Saccharomyces cerevisiae S288C: one gene and its partner. Each later gene encodes a partner of the first gene's protein in a complex. Each region holds a gene or a part of one and is shown on either strand. Other genes may lie near its edges. A codon is read from its position in the direction of its gene.

Region 1 (5,799 bases):
AGTGATTTGTTAAACAAGGTGCAACGAATAAGAATATAACTATACTATCTACTATATTGATCATTATTTTTTATTCTCTGGAGGACCCCAGAACAAAAAAAATATAGAAAAAAAACAATCGTCAAGAGTGACAAATACATGAGTAATAAGAAAAGGCGTCACAAATTAAAATTTGCAGTCACAAAGAGAAATAGACAGAGAATAGACTGTCTGGAATTAAGATGTCTTTTCTATCTGAGCTCCCAACAAGGCAACGGTATTGGACAGATATAATTCACAAATCACAATTCACTCCATGGAAGACACGATACGTCCATTAAATTACGCAGATATCGAGACCAGCGGGCCCATAAACCTTCTTGAGACAACTAATAACCTAAAAAGCTCGTTAAAAAAGTTTTCACAAAAGGCAAAGGGATCACACATTTCCAGAGAAAGGATTCACCATTTTAGAAAATGGAAAAATAAGACCGAATCACTTTCAGAAAACCATTTGAAGCCTCCTCCTGACGTCGACTCTCTATGTTTCAGTAACTGCTTTCAACCTGACGCCCTGTCTGGAAATGTATTTTTACCCCCCAGAAGCTCAAACATGTATTGGAATGAAAAGCAATTACAATTAGAAATGGAAATTCTAAAATTTTTATCACTAAATACTAGCAATGAATGCTGCACTTCTGATGATTAGCTTTTACACACATATATACTGCTACTATCTTTAAAGCACAAAAAAAAAATCTATCAAAAAGGATCAACGCATTACTAAATAAAATGTAACAAAGAATAGCCTTCACCCTCAGCGGAGAAATTCTTAACAAATCATCCTTGGTAATTTGGAAGTGTGGTACAATCCAACCACCACTGCAAAATAACATTTCCAGCTGCTCTGCTTCCTCTCGTAATAAGTAATTTATTAATAAATTTTTCATGACCTGCAGGATTGTTACATATTTGGGGCAAAACAGCAACGAGCCACTCTCTTGCTTCAATTGGAAACTTGGCTACCAAAGCTCTTAGCAGATCTGTGTAACTATTCAGATCGGACCTTTGTGTGTGGAATAAGCCATACATAATTTGGTACACAAGGTCTCCTCCTATAGAGGAAACTTGTTGCCTAACAGTTGTGAGTTCTTCTTGGTTGTATTTCTTATTATTGATCAACTTAGTCCAAAATTTTGCCACCGCAACAATTGTGAACTTTTCTCTTGAAGGTATTAATTTTAAAAATTGAGGTAAAATAAATGATGTCCAATGTTTACTGCCAATAGCTAAGCCTGGCTTCACGTCCAAAACGTTATTAACAAAACCTATTGTCATTTGTAAAAGGTCCGGATCATTGATAATATATGCATCATAATAGACTAGAAGGATCTTTTCAAACATGAAATCAAATTCTTGTGGTGTTAGTTCCTTCCTGAACTCTGAAATAAGCTTTTCTAATAAATAAACAAAATAAGGCAAGCAAGTAGCAAGCTCACAGTTGGGGACATGCCGCAAAACAAAATTCATAACTTCAGACATATTGTACTTGAGGAAGTACGGTTCCCCGTCGGGCAGATTTAATCCTTTACCAACAATCAAACAACCGATCTCCACAAAGGCGGAGTTTTTACAATATATTGAATTATCCAAGACCTTATCAATGGTGCACATAATTTTCGATCGGATTTGTAAGGGATCGCTGGACCAGAAACTTTGAAACTCAGATAACCTTTGTAGTAATGCATCATTTTCGATGATTTCAGTAGGTTGGATCAAACTTGTTGCTAGCTCAGATATACAGTATAATAGACAATTAATATAATCTTGTTGTTCTTGTAACTGTACCGATGAAGCCAAACAATGCTCTATTGAGCCGCTCAATAGGTTCGTCAATTGTAAAATATATTTAGCTTGCTCCTCTGGACCGTTGGAGACTTGACATTGAACGACATAACCTATAGATCTAACCAATTTAGTTCTAGTGAAATGTGAAACATTGGAGTCTGGCATAATGACTGTGTTTAAAAAGCTTATAAAATGCATCAAATATGGAGTCAACTCCTCACGGCATGTCTCACATAATGTTGAAACAGTCTTGATAACCATAACTTCAAGTTTATCGTTCGAAATTTTTTCTTGTTCGTTTTTACTAGTAAAATTGGTGCAAGTGTGCAAACCTTGAAATAAAGCTTCCACGTATGGGTTTAATTGAAAAGGTTCCTGTTTAAAATAACCAGCCAAAGTGCCGATTAAAGTTGTACTTGTTCTTACGAAGTCAAGTTTCAAAATTTGACTGACTTTTGTACTGGCACTAGTTTGGAAACCAGTTTGGAAGACGGATATGACATTTTGGTTGAAGAATTTGTTGGCATCAACGATATTTTTAATCCATGGGCTTTCTGATAGAGTCATATCAACCAATATAGTATTCAAAACAAAACACATCGTTTCAATTCGAAACAAAACATCAGTATCCTTGATGATGAGAGTCTCATCACTCGCAGCAGGCATTTGGCCCATACCATCAATTAGCACATTTGTTAAATTATCGTTTCCCAAAATAGACCAGAGAGATTGAGCAAGGTCACTGACAGCGTTTCTAAAATCTTCAAATTCGTTCACAGAAGTGCTCTCACCCTCTTCTTCAATTATTCTTTGTTTCACACTCAAAGAAATTTTGGGTAAATAAATATTGATCAACTGCTGAAAAATTTGTGTAGACAGCTCAATAGAATTTGGCCTCAAAGTTTCGCTAGCCAAATTAGTGTAAGCATCCGATAAATCCAACCAAAAATCAACCATTCTAACAGAAAAGAACTCTTGTAAGACAGGAGTTAAAGGGAAATTGGTCATTTGCAAAAGGACTTTGATGTATTCCTGAATATATTCATCTTGAACTTGACCATTATCAGCTGCTTGAATGTTAGTAAATAATTTATTACAAACACTTAACGTGTTAATTTGCAAGAAATCCACAATACAAATGGCCAATTCCTTCAATTCGGAAAAAAAATCATTGGTAACTAAATAATTCATATATTGTAGCATCCAAGAATTTTTGTTAGATATGTCGGTTATGCCAGAATCAGGCCTTACTACACCTAAGAAAATACACTCGATTTGTTGTCTCAAATCGTAACTCATTAATAATGGATCATTAGCAAAAACATTACCAAATATTGTTAGGATCTTTTCCGCATTCTCATAACCGTCCGATCCTTCTGTAGACTGATACATCAAGTCAATCAGGTTTTGAAAAATTTCCGACAAATCCATTCTACCACTTGAAGATACGCTTCTGGTTAATGAGATATAATTAATCCAAGCAGTAATACAATCAAATACGGTAGGATTGAAGACAGCTTGTGCAGTTAAGTTCAAGTTGATCAAAGCCATAGTTGAAATATATAAATGCTCATGGACTACTTCGTGGATTTGAGACATTGAATGCCTCTTTGTTTGGAACTTCGTCAAATCTTCCACAATAACTTCTGTAAACGTCAATGCCAGTTCATTATGTTTCTGAGATAGGCTAACAAATTGAGACAGTTGCTCGTATGTTAAGGAGCAGTTGATTGAGTCAAGCAACAGTTGGTCTGCATTAATGTTTTGATTTTGAACCGACATAAGTTGAATAAACGTATTTATGGGATTGTTCCATTGCTTAATCATATTTTCATTTCCAGCGTTATTAAGCTGCGGATCGTTGATTTTAGTGAAGATCAATGACAAGTTTGACATTAACTTTTTAATTATGATTAGAGATTGCCCGTACATATTAGGATTGGAAACGTACAATGTACTGAATTTCGTCAAGTACAATAAATTTGACCTGAAAACATTCCATAGGGTTTCATAATCGTTTTCACCCCGCGTATTTAGTTGCACAGTTAAAGTCAGTGCACCAAAGTACTTGACATTCGCAGAGTACTTGTCATCAGATAAAAGCTCATTAGCTAGGTGGAAGCCTTGCTCTGATTTCTGGATTGACTGTAAACTCTGTTGAATCTGATTAACATCATGTTTCGGATGAGGAGAGTACAGCTCTTCAATAAGAGCCACAACCTCGTGAATGGAGCTCATCAAAAACTAAGAATAAGAGACTAGTTACTATGGTATTCAAATCTGTGTTTAGCAATATCTATATGTTCTGAAGTTTTTAAGAACTGTTAGCAATACAGTGAAGTGCTACAAATAGTTCGAGCTTTTTCTCAAATTTTTCACGCGATGAGGAGACAAAAAAGCATCAGGTATTTAATGGATAAATCACCTCCAAAACTATTCCATCAACTATATAAAATTATCTCAGCGCGATGGTGAGAATGTTTGAATGCTAAAAAATGTTATACATTAGGATTGTTATTAGAATAGTGTGTTGAAGGCTCACATTTGCTCACTATATAAAATGACGGCTTTCATACAAGTTTCGAAGCCAAATAACCGTATCACGTCACAAATACGTTTCTTGACATTCGGAGGTTCGCTATAAAAGTTAATTAATGGTCGAATCCCCTCCGTTTCGATTTCGAAGAGAAATAGTCTTCCCTCCAGGTCAGTGATCTTGCCAGATTGCATAATGTCCAGCAATTCCCATAGCGGGAGTAATCCCGGCACCACATTAGGAATACCATTTGGAGCATGGCCATTGTGTTCTTTCAAATGGTAGATGGTATCTAAATCTTCCTCTTCGTACGGTATACCGTAAAGTTCTTTCAATTCCAATGCAGATTCATTTGCAGATTTAAACGCACACCCTCCCACACCGTATATTTCCTCAGCAATATTCTTGTACTTGACAACATTATCAGTGGGAAATCCCTCCCCTCTTCCGGTTTCAGAGTCAACGAGGTAGAGCTCCTTAGTAACTTTCGTCTCTTCTTCACCTATGACAAAGAGTTTGCCCCTAGAAATCATATCCTGAATGGGTTTCAATGGGATATATTTACTGTGACACACATCCAGTACTTCCGCACCATAGTTTGCTTTATAATTCATCTTCGGACAGTCCTCAATATAGTACCCCAGGTAATAGTATTGCAGATTTGTCCTTTGAATGATGGCAAGATCGCGCAAAGCACTGAGCTTCCCTAGGGACCATTTACTGTAGTCTGGATCCCAAATAAAATATACCGAAGATATACCACTGGGCAAGATATCTGACACAGTGATGGCAATTAATTTACCCTCATAGTAGTAGCATTCGTGCACAGGACCCATATGCTTCAGTTTCTCGCCTGGCTTCATTCGCTGCCAATTGTTTAACTGCTCCCATGATTCTTGTGTCCCCAACACCGCTTCAGGGCCAAAGGGCGTATCACATAGGAATCGCTTAAAGGACTTCGGCGAATTATTGTAGTCTTGATGCACTTTTTCCTGATATTTGACAAATAAGTGATACTTTTCTTCACTATAAAGTGCAGGCTCAAATCGGGTATAGAATGTTTTAGAATTCATCTCTGCATTAACAATTTTGCCCACAAAATCACTGCTTGCAACAGCGGCTGGGCAGTAGTCCTCACTTGTTATTCTAGTAGCAAAGCGGCTGATGCATTTTTTCAATTCCTTTGTCATATTCAATTCTTGAGGGGCAGTTCGAATGGTGTATAACCTACAACAATTCCTCAACGGGTCCACTTTATAAAGAAACTTACCAGACCTTCTAAATCCCATATTACACATGCGATCATACGTGGCTACATCCATATGTTCCACGAAAGAGCCAATTGTGCAGTTTTCAATCTTTACAACGTCCATTTTGTTCATATAACGATGAGCCCACGAATCCAATGCGAACAACTGATCCATGTTGCCCCCCTT
Region 2 (2,997 bases), on another chromosome or scaffold:
AGAGAAAAATAACGACAACTGCAGGACTCGAACCTGCGCGGGCAAAGCCCAAAAGATTTCTAATCTTTCGCCTTAACCACTCGGCCAAGTTGCCATAACTCATTGAAAATTCTGTTTCCCACATAGGTCAAAACTAATATTTCCCTTGGCCTGCTCTTCAACCTCCCCCGTTCTGAGAGTTCCCTTTTTTTTTTTTTTTTTTTTTTTTTGAGGGGGAAGCGCCGGATTTGCCACCGACCGGCTGCTTGCAGCCGGTAGATATGCGCACATGAAAATCATCCTCCCCAATGAATTACACTGCCTGCATAAGGAAAAAGAAAAGTGTGAAATACGAATAAAAACAAAGTATATTATTGCTATATAGATGATAAATAACAAAATAAATAGAAAATAAAAAAAAGGATTTATTTGTGTATGCTTTAGGAGAACGAAAAAAAAATTGCAAAGAAAAAAACCCGGTTCAGCGAAGAGTACATGATGTGATGGAAGGGGCGTCGGAGTTTTTTTTTCTTTTTTCATTTATATCCCATGCCATGATGTTAACCGGTTTAATCGGTTCTAGCAGCTTCCTTGAAGGAGATGGCGGCTTCTTCACCCATAGCGGAGATGATGGTAACCATCAAGTCCTTACCTTCATCAAAAGCAGTTTGCAAACTGTCACCCAATTCACCTTCTGGAGCCTTGACATCATCCTTAGTGTCACCGTCCATGTTCATCAAAGACAAGAAACCGTCATCAATGTCCAACAATTGGTATTCGTTTCTCTTGACAACTGGAACTTCCATGTTGTGAGTAGATGGAGACAAATCTTCCAACTTCTTACCAGTGAAGATATCAATGGCAACCAAATGGACTTTAGCGTGACCGTGCTTACCAGTCTTAGAAGTGGACATGTCGACAATCTTACATGGTCTACTCTTGATGACAACGAAACCGTTCTTTCTCAAGGCAGAACATTGCATTGGGTAGGTGGCGGAGGAACCAGCGTCAGCAGTTTCAAAGGTATGTTCTTCGTCAGACATTGTATATATGAGTTGGTATTTGTGTGTGTTTGGGAGTCTATGAGTAATTGGCTACAGAAGTAGAATCGTTAGAAAGAAGGAAAGGAAGCAATTGATAGAAGGAGAGGAATTTAGGAAATGAGGGATTCCAATGTCAAGATATGGCAAAAACCTTGTGCATTATATAATCGTGGAACACGACGATCAACGCGGCCAAAAGCCGATCGACGACGACGACGAAAAAAATTTTTATTACCACTGTTCCTTCACCTTCGAAACTTTTTTTCGGGCGACGGCGTTTCTTTTAGCTCCTGCGGTATGTGCGGTGCGGGAGGTCCCTTGTCGCCTCACACGGACCCGATATAACGCTACGGAATACATCGAGGGGTATGGGTGGATGATATCACTGCAGCAAGGTCTGGGTGTTGCAGAATTTTACCGGCCTTGGCCCCTCAGCGTCCAGCTACAGCGTTATACTACTCCAAGTCGCCGTTCCCGTTTTGCTGTTCTCACCCCTCAGAGAAAATGCCACCAGAACGAAGCCAATGGTCAGGACTTATCGTTACTTATACTGTTGAGCCGGATATATCCGCTGTGCTCTAATACCAGCCAAACGAGAAGGGTAGCGGCAAGAAAGGGTAAACTTTCATGATGAAGTTAGCTAGTTCCTTTTACGATTGCTACTATCTCGTTCAACTTGGCCTGCGCTGTTGATGAAAATAGCAGTGACTGCAGAGAATAGAAATGAACCGGGCTCATCTGGTCTAGTTGCCTTCTTTTTTTTATTTTTTTTCATTTTCCTTTTCTTTTCTTTTCTTTTCTTGTCTCACTATGTTGGTTTAATCAATTCGTAATCCCTTTACCAACGCATTGTGTTCAATTTTCCTCTTGTGTGGGGTCGCCCGCCTTGTCTCATCGTGAAAAAATTGCGTAAGATGAAATCATGAAAACATGAAATAAAAAAAATAAATAAAAATAACTACACGATTCAAAAACGCCAAGATCTGTTAGTAGAGACAGCAAGCATTGCAAAACCATTCATCACTCAGTTGCTAGGCGAGTGTTGGTGCGATTTACCCTCATCATCTTTTTTTCGCTCCATTAAACAGTTCCTTGTGGCTTTCATGCAAAGTGTACGTCCATAATGAAGTATAATAACAGAAAACTCTCGTTCAACCCTACCACAGTAAGTATCGCTGGAACGTTGCTTACGGTGTTCTTTCTCACAAGACTCGTGCTTTCGTTCTTCTCGATATCGCTATTCCAGCTGGTAACTTTCCAAGGAATCTTCAAGCCCTATGTTCCAGATTTTAAAAATACTCCCAGCGTAGAGTTCTACGACCTACGAAATTACCAAGGCAACAAAGATGGTTGGCAACAGGGTGACCGCATCTTGTTTTGCGTGCCACTGAGAGATGCTTCTGAGCATCTTCCCATGTTTTTTAACCATCTGAATACCATGACATATCCGCACAACCTGATTGATCTGTCGTTTTTGGTGAGTGACTCTTCGGATAACACCATGGGCGTGTTACTATCCAATCTACAGATGGCGCAATCGCAACAAGACAAGTCCAAAAGGTTTGGTAACATCGAAATCTATGAGAAGGACTTCGGCCAAATCATTGGTCAGTCCTTTTCTGATCGTCACGGGTTTGGCGCCCAGGGCCCCAGAAGAAAGCTGATGGCCAGGGCTCGTAATTGGCTTGGGTCCGTGGCCCTGAAACCATACCACTCCTGGGTTTACTGGAGAGACGTGGATGTCGAAACCATCCCCACTACCATCATGGAGGATCTAATGCATCACGACAAGGACGTCATTGTCCCCAACGTCTGGAGACCTTTACCAGACTGGCTGGGAAACATTCAACCCTACGATTTAAATTCATGGAAGGAATCAGAAGGGGGTCTTCAATTGGCGGATTCCCTAGACGAAGATGCTGTCATTGTGGAAGGGTACCCAGAGTACGCCACTTGGAGACCTCACCTGGCATAC

The links.
Region 2: the proteins of KAP122 (region 1) and HYP2 are in contact, whole or in part, in a crystal structure (PDB 6Q84), measured with the Saccharomyces cerevisiae proteins. Residues at the interface, in NP_011499.1 of Saccharomyces cerevisiae: Leu312 (codon at 3,132), Thr440 (codon at 2,748), Asn441 (codon at 2,745), Leu442 (codon at 2,742), Ala443 (codon at 2,739), Ser444 (codon at 2,736), Leu447 (codon at 2,727), Ile452 (codon at 2,712), Trp506 (codon at 2,550), Ser507 (codon at 2,547), Leu509 (codon at 2,541), Gly510 (codon at 2,538), Asn511 (codon at 2,535), Asp512 (codon at 2,532), Asp557 (codon at 2,397), Met558 (codon at 2,394), Thr559 (codon at 2,391), Glu562 (codon at 2,382), Ser563 (codon at 2,379), Pro564 (codon at 2,376), Trp565 (codon at 2,373), Arg1018 (codon at 1,014), Arg1060 (codon at 888); in NP_010880.3 of Saccharomyces cerevisiae: Asn29 (codon at 938), Phe31 (codon at 932), Lys35 (codon at 920), Lys40 (codon at 905), Val42 (codon at 899), Asp43 (codon at 896), His58 (codon at 851), Val60 (codon at 845), Ile62 (codon at 839), Gly67 (codon at 824), Lys68 (codon at 821), Lys69 (codon at 818), Leu70 (codon at 815), Glu71 (codon at 812), Arg87 (codon at 764), Asp94 (codon at 743), Asp96 (codon at 737), Ile148 (codon at 581), Ser149 (codon at 578), Glu152 (codon at 569), Ala153 (codon at 566).

What each region holds. Positions count from the first base shown.
Region 1 is NC_001139.9:459,932-465,730, reverse strand, and holds KAP122 (Kap122p), read right to left. Parts: upstream 4,066-5,799; coding exon 820-4,065; downstream 1-819. Other genes in the region: BIL2 (Bil2p), read left to right, coding at 296-688; ATE1 (arginyltransferase), read right to left, coding at 4,366-5,799.
Region 2 is NC_001137.3:83,701-86,697, reverse strand, and holds HYP2 (translation elongation factor eIF-5A), read right to left. Parts: upstream 1,023-2,997; coding exon 549-1,022; downstream 1-548. Other genes in the region: MTC7 (Mtc7p), read right to left, coding at 100-519; UTR5 (Utr5p), read left to right, coding at 1,153-1,653; ANP1 (Anp1p), read left to right, coding at 2,146-2,997. UniProt on the Saccharomyces cerevisiae protein: Translation factor that promotes translation elongation and termination, particularly upon ribosome stalling at specific amino acid sequence contexts.